Cricetulus griseus: one gene and its partner. The main gene of each other region encodes a partner of the protein of the gene in region 2 in a complex. Links are inferred from orthologs where the notes say so. Each region holds a gene or a part of one and is shown on either strand. Other genes may lie near its edges. The genes, in order: Rcvrn and Grk1.

Evidence for each region.
Region 1: the proteins of Grk1 (region 2) and Rcvrn are in contact, whole or in part, in an NMR structure (PDB 2I94), measured with the Bos taurus proteins. The link is inferred for Cricetulus griseus from reciprocal best matches to the Homo sapiens genes GRK1 and RCVRN. Residues at the interface, in NP_776598.1 of Bos taurus: Phe3, Gly4, Leu6, Glu7, Val9, Val10, Ala11, Asn12, Ser13, Ala14, Phe15, Ile16; in NP_776590.1 of Bos taurus: Lys22, Trp31, Ser34, Phe35, Glu38, Cys39, Phe49, Ile52, Tyr53, Lys55, Phe56, Phe57, Tyr86, Leu90, Thr93, Ser94, Phe188, Glu189.

What each region holds. Positions count from the first base shown.
Region 1 is NC_048600.1:81,579,792-81,582,798, reverse strand, and holds part of Rcvrn (recoverin), read right to left. Parts: intron 1,049-3,007; coding exon 937-1,048; intron 1-936. UniProt on the Homo sapiens protein: Acts as a calcium sensor and regulates phototransduction of cone and rod photoreceptor cells. Modulates light sensitivity of cone photoreceptor in dark and dim conditions.
Region 2 is NW_023276807.1:67,387,498-67,392,011, forward strand, and holds the start of Grk1 (rhodopsin kinase GRK1), read right to left. Parts: upstream 2,895-4,514; coding exon 2,196-2,894; intron 889-2,195; coding exon 761-888; intron 1-760. UniProt on the Homo sapiens protein: Retina-specific kinase involved in the signal turnoff via phosphorylation of rhodopsin (RHO), the G protein- coupled receptor that initiates the phototransduction cascade.

The DNA of each region.
Region 1 (3,007 bases), on a different chromosome or scaffold from region 2:
TCTCTGTATGATGATACCAATTCTTGTACCGTATCCTATATGGCCATGTGTGCCATTGGACCAACAGCTCCAGCTGCCACATTCTGGAATTCACCCCTCCTTCAAGCCCCAGAGGCTGCTTCCAGACAGCCACTAAGCAGAGAGAGGACATCAAGAAGCTGAGAGAGGACACCTTAATGATTTTGCCAGCACTGTCTTAGAGTGTCACAGCCCAGGTCTTTTTACCTGTCTTTCCTCCCTGTCCTTCATCCCTGTACTGATTCCGGGATTGGGGCCAAGTCCTCATGACATGAATCTTCCCAGTCCCTAGGTCCCTCCCTGGTGGCTGTCTTCTCAATAAATGCCCGTCAATGTAACTGAATCTGATCCTTTCTTGGTGGGATTTTGGGATCATGGAAGCTAACTTCCTGAGATCTCTGCTGAGTGAAGTGCTGTTTTCTCCTGTTCTCACTGAGCAGGGAACATCTGGACAGCAAGCAGCCAGAAGAGATAAAAGGCTGCATTTCCCTAAACCAGTCATTGTGTATGCATGGCCAGTGAGCCTGCACACTTTACATTAGTTCTAGGCTAAAGACTGGCAAAACCAACACTCCAATACACATGAAGCTGAGGCAGGAGGATTACTAGTTTACTGCTAACCTAGCATACAAAGTGTTCTCCTTCCTTCCCCCAATCCCCAGGCAGCGAGTAGGTTTTGTAATAGGAGTATGCTGATCCCCCCATTACTAGCATCAGCTGGAGGGTCGTAGTAGACCTAGCCTGAACTGACAAGCGTCTGGTAGACCACTACCCCTGACTTTTGAAGATAGCTTGGATAAAGTGTGGTGACAAAAAGTGTCCCCCAGTCCTGCCTGAGCACTGTGACTCAGAAGAGGCAATCCTTCTGGAAACAGCAGACACCGTAAAGTCGGAGGTAACAAAGACAAAGGGATTCACCATCATCTTTCTTTCCAAAGAATGTCCAGATCTTCTCAGCCCGCTTTTCTGGAGTGTTTTCATCATCTGGAAGGTGCTTCACATCCTCAGGCTTGATCATTTTGAAAATAGCCTATAGCAGACCAAGGGAAAGATCTTGTCACAAAGAGGAGTAAGGGCTTGGTTGTCCTGAGAAATCCATGTCTCACACCACACCCCAAAATCTACCAGGGTTGGATTACTTAATTTTCTAGCCCAAATTATATAATTCCTAGAGGGTGCTAAGCTATGTGACATTGGTTGTAATAATGATTTTTGAACTATTGGGATTATACTAAAACTTAAGAAGTTTCTACATATTGGAGAAGACAACAAAGTAAGATTACCTTGGGGTAGGAGAAAATATTTACAAACCTTTGATAATGATTACTTAGGGATTAGTATATAACATATATGAAGAAAACCTGCTACTCAGTGCTAAAGCAGTAAGTGGCATTGAGGGTAGTAGTATACACCTTTAATCTCAACACTTGGGAGAAAGATGCCAGCCTGATCTACACAGGGAGCTCCAGGCCAACCAGAGATACATAGTAAGACTCTGTTTCAAACAAACAAAACCAATAAAACCAACCACACACAAAATCAAACAATAAATAACTGAATTAAAAACAGACAAGGGAACTAGACAGACATCTCTTTAAATAAATAAATAAATAAATAAATAAATAAATAAATAAATAAAATAGGGATGGCCAACAAGTATGTGAAAAGTCATCAACTTCGTTAATCATTAGGTAAATGGAAATCAAAACCATAACAAGTTATCCCTTCCACCTGTTGGGATAGCTACTCTTGTGAAACCTGCCTCATCTGTGTCTCTTGTCAGATGGGGCTGGGAACATGGCTCAGTGTAAAGCTCTATGAGGCCCAGGTTTGATTCTCAGCATACAACACTAAACACTCCCACCTCAAACAAAGATGAGAGGTAAGTGTTGGAGAGGGTGTGTAGAAAAGGAAGCCCCTGGTCTTTATTTGGGCCACCACATCATTTCTCTTTCTTGATGCCCAAACAGCCTGGAGCATCAGGTGCCCTCTAAAGGTAAGGGGTTTACAGTCCAGGTGCCTACCAAAGCCCCACAGGTTCTACTGAATCAAAATTCCCTAGGGCGGGCCCCAGGCACCATCAACACCTTTGAGACCTTGGTACAGGACAGTGACTATGGAGGAAAATTTGCTCTTTCATGTACCATTTGAGTCTTCTGAGTAGATGCTATAGTTTTGTTTAGAAAAAAAAATAGAAACTTCCCAACAATAATCCCACAGCAGCCCTGAGGTTGGAGTTTGGGAGCCATTAGCACAGTCCCTGTCTCCCACAGGCTGGAGAGAAGAATCAAAGGGCATCTTCCACTGGGCGTTGGTGGCACACGCCTTTAATCCCAGCACTTGGGAGGCAGAGGCAGGAGGATATCTGTGAGTTCCAGGCCAGCCTAGTCTTCAGAGCGAGTGCCAGGATAGACTCCAAAGCTACACAGAGAAACCCTGTCTCGAAAAACCAAAACAAAAAACAAAAAAACAAAACACAAAGGTCATCTTCCATGTCTGCAAGGCATTCTAGTTCTGCAGCAGGGCTGGCCTAGGATCACAAAGGCTAACTTCTGTGGGACACTCACATCACTTGTGTTAGCATTTTTAGATTAATTCTCAAGAGAACCTTACAGAGAGGATATTGTCAGTCCCATTTTACAGACAGCAAGCAAACTTGCAAACATCAAACTTGCCCAAAGTTACCCAGGGTAGCATTGATTCTAACACAGGCAGCTTGTTCTAGAACCTGTATGCTTGCATTTTACCCCAGTTTGTGTATATTGTTTCTGAAGATCATAGACTAGGCTGAGGAGGAGGAAGGGAGGTGTGAACAAGACTTGCAGAGGTCTGCTCAGGGACACAGAAATCCCCTTAGGTACCCTACACTCAGGAAGGAATGCAGAGAAAGGCTGGGTCCCTTCAGCCCCTTCTCCCTCTGATTGAGGAAAAGCCAGAAGTGTTCCTGACTTATATGAGATCAGAGAAGTGGACAAGGTGGTCCCTATTT
Region 2 (4,514 bases):
TGCAATGCTAGAAGCACTCAGCATCCCTTGCAGCTCTCTTCTCCTTCTATGGGATTCTCACACAGACTGATTGTCTAGCCTTACATTACTTATCTGAAGGAAATGCAGATGGCTCTGCTTGAGAAGTGATGTAAACAAAAACAGAGGAAGGGAGAGACATGGGCATTGCAGGTTATAGTTCCCTTTAGTGGAGCCCTACACTCCCAAGGCACCCCAGGGTCTCACTGTGTTAGCCCCATGTACCTGGTACCCAAGAATCTCATCATTTTAACTTTGTGTGCCAGTTACCCAGGGTCCCACCATTTCACCCTCCTGACACTGACTTGGTCATTATTTGTTTCTATTTTACACAACAGGAAACTGAGGTAAAGATTGGTGAAGTCACCAAGTCAGTGAAAGCCAGTCATCTGACCTCCTCAAGGATGCAGAAACAACCTCAGAGCACCATCAGGCTCAGCCAACCCAGGCACCATCAGGGGTGGCACTCTCCTATGTAGGCAACAGGCAAGTTGGCTCTAGCTGGTCTTCCAGATCTCTATTCTTACAGGACTGGGCACTGATGGAATTGTCAATTTTTATTTCTTAGTCCTCTCAACCCATCACAGCCATCCACAATACCACACGCCCTCTGTCATCTGTCTCCAACAATCATGGGCATGCTCAAGAGTGTGCAGTGACAGATACAGCCTAAGTCCTGGGGCCCACTGGACATGAACTGGGTACCCTAGTTGAAACTAACCCCAGGTTTGTATACCATTACCTTATGTCACCTCCATTCATGATGGTCATTACCAGACAGAGGTCAGTCTTGGTCTCAAATGCATAGGCCAGAGACACAATGAATGGGCTGTGAACTTTGGCCAGAATCCTCTTCTCAACCATGGCACCCTGGAAGCAGAGTTGTGACCCTCAGTCCTCAGGAATGCACTGTGGAGAACAGCCTGCATTCTGGCCACAGCACAGGGCAGGCTTGCAATATGTGAGATCTGGCATTCATTCATTCATTCATTCATTCATTCATTCATTCATTCATTCAGCCTTGGCATCCACCCTCCCCCTGCACCATGCTCGCTCCACCATGGCTTGTACCCAGCTAACTCCCAGTGCAGCCCAAGTTTCTGGTAGACCCCGCTTTATCGTTCATCTTTATTCTAAAGTGTGGAAAGGATGAGGACAGTAGGCCAAGGTGATTCTGTATATGTCCCACCAGATCACTGAAATCAGAAAAGATTCAGTGTTGTATTGGGTTGCACATAGATGTGAGTGACCTTGAACTCAAATTATAGTTCCATAAAACTGGAGTTTTTTTGTTTGTTATTTTTGAGACATGGTCTCACTATGTAGCCCTGGCTCTCCCGGAACTCTCTATGTAGACCATTGAGCTAACAGAGATCCCGCCTGCCTCTGCCTCCTGAGTGCTGGGATTAAAGGTGTGTGCCACATACCTGAGCATAGAGCCCTTCCTTAAAGACTAACATTAGTCCGCCATGAAGTGCAGTCCCCAAGGCCCCTGCTAAAAGTACCTGGATTTGTCTGGCACCCCCTACCTGCTGCTAGCACCTAATGTTTGACCTTTCACTGAGGGCTCAGGGGCCTGCTGGGTCTGGTGTCAATCCCTAAGAGTTTCACAGCATTATCTATACTGTACGGCAGGGCTGTGTCCCTTGGGCAATAAGCCGCTTTCACTGATCCTGCCTTAACTAGACACTGACGCCAACAAAGACGGAAATAAAATACTGGCAGCCTGCCTATGTCCTCCAGCCATTCTTGTCCCCTGGAAACCTGTGTTCAGGAAGAGTAGTCCTGCATGCCAGCATCACAGATGGGTTGTGTGCCTCGTGTAGACAGTGCCTGCCAAAGTGATGTTCGACTGACAGAGTCCCACCTTACTTTATCCTGTACGAAATCACAACAGGAACCACACCTTGAGGAAAGGTTTCTAGATAGCCAGATGCACTCTCCAGACAGCAGCTGCCTGCAACTGGCTCTCCCCATGAACTTCTCCTGAGTGTGGTGCAGATTGACAATGGCCCTGCCAATGGCTGTCTGAGCTGGGGCGGGGTGGAGGGGGCATCCAAATGACAGGATACATGCACAGTAGCTAAAGCCTATGTAGAGCTCCACAGGTGGGTGGCCGGCATCCCACCATCCCTCCATCCCAAGAGCATCTTCTGCTTGCTGGGCTTCCTCCCTACCTGGTAGCCCTTCCTCTTCTTCAGCCGTTTCTTGTTGAGCTTCTTGCAGGCATACATCTTGCCAGTCGCCTTCATTTGGCAAGCGGACACCTCCCCAAAGCCCCCTTTCCCCAGAACCCTGAAGTCCAAGAACCAGTCTTCGCCTATGGGCTGGGCTTCCAGCCACTTCCACTGGAGGAACCTCAGGAAGTACAGGCTTTCAAGGTACTCCTGGAAGGGGGCCTGGCTCAAGTGGTCCAGTGTGGCCTGCAGCAGAGGCTGGAAGAGGCCATCCTGACTCCCAGTTGGCCCTTCCCTCACTTTTGCCACCATGCCCTGCTCCAGAAAATTGCAGAAGAGTGTGGCCTGTGGGTCCAGGTAGTCAGCCAGGATGGCCTGTGCCTTCTGTGGCCGCAGGTCATCATCGGCAGTGTCATAGTCCTCAATGTCCTTCCAGAGCTCCAGGGCTGGCACATGCTTCTCATCTGTCTTCAGGAACTGTTGAAAGAGCCTCTTGCCAATGGGTTGCTCTGAACACAGGCTCTCAAACTCTAGGTTGAGGTTTTCACGGAGACCCTCGCACTTGGACAGTGGGGGCAACCGGAGCTTCGCCAGATACTTCTTGTCCCGGGAAGACGGGGTGCTGCTTCCATCAAAGCTGCCACGGGCAGCGATGAAGGCGGAGTTGGCAACAACAGTCTCCAAGGACCCAAAATCCATCTTGATGATGTCTCGTGTCCACTTCAAGTGTTAGGACCCATAAGCTGAAGGGAAGCTCAAGGCCCCTGAAGCCAAAGCAGGCCTGACCCTGTGCCCTTGGCCTATGGCCTGTTCCTGCCCTTGTGGGACAAGGGAGGCATGCAGCTGTGGCCAGGATGCTTGGGGAGGCACTGAGAAGCCCAGGGAGACCAGGGCTAACAAGCATCTAGCTAAATCCAGCCCTGGGGTCACTGAGGACACCTTAGGGGTGACCAAGCAGGTGCCATAAAAAGACAATCCTCTAAGCTGCTCCAAATCGGATTAGAGTTCAGCTTGGCTCTCTCTCCCTTGGTGTTGCCTTCGTGCTCCCAAGGAAAGGGCACACCATAGACTCCTGGAAGCCCCCAGGAGCAGTTCTGTCTTTCCCCAGCCCTGGCAGGTGCACAGGACCTGTCTATATCCTTCTGGAACATGGGTCTGCAATAGAGGGCAGGCAGTCCCAGGAGCAACCTCCATCTGCAAAGATGGTTGTCTTTCACACTGTTTCATTTTTATCTTTAAGAGAGAAGCAGGAGAGAAGCTACCTCACCCAGTGACAAGTTTCCCCATCTGTAGGTGAGATCGTGGATATTTGATTGTACTCAACTAGTCTTCTCCTTGAAGAAGAATTGCTACAAGGTGGTTAGAGGACAAAGACAGGGTGCAGGGGAGCCACAGACCACCACATTGAGTCCCTGTCAAGCAGGAAGATTCATGAGACACAAGCCTGGGATGCACCTAGGACACAGGGACTCAGGTGGGTACACCTGAGACAGATTGGAAATATCAGGGACACATTTGGGGGCACACTCAGAACCAGTTTAGACAGTGATCACACCCAGGCCACACATGGGAATGGTAGAATCAATGGGCATGTCACCATCTCCTGGGGATCACAACTGTCATGTCTGTAGGTACTCCTGACAGTTTAAGGAGGAGCCACGGGGAGGGAGCACTTGCAGGGACGAGAAAGAGAAGTCCTGTAGAATGAATGAAATCCCAAATCAGGAGGCTAAAGCTGTATGCAGCAGAAGAGTACTTCAGGTGGGGACAGAGTTTCCTGTTGTGACTGTAGGAACCTTCTGGTGAATGCCAACCACCTCCCCCACCTCCACCTCCTAGCATGGGCTTGTGACAGGAAGATTGGCAAGTAAATATTTGAGGTAAACAATATCTCACTGTCCCCAAGTGACCTGTGCTAGTCCCAGCCCCGCCACTTAGCAGCTGGTGACCTTGGACAGACAATATCTGATTCTTGCACCAATCAGGACCAAAGGCAACATGGTTCTCAACCATGCCATCTTGCCAGCAGAGCCACTCAGCATACTGAAATCCACATTCCACCTGCCTTAGAGGGCCTGGCCGAGGAGCTCAGGCCTCCATTGCTGGCAGGCTCCTGAGTGATTTACATGGAAGCTATAAGACAGGAGGATCATGAGAGGGTTAGGGCTGAAGAACTCCAGACTGCCTTCACACCAGGAAGGCCTCTTGTGGAAGGGGCTGAGGAGAATTTGATGACCAAAGTAGGACAAGTTTGGTTCCTGGCCCAGAATATTCAGATAGAGGGCAAGAGTATATAGTGTTTCCCAAACTCACCTCTGG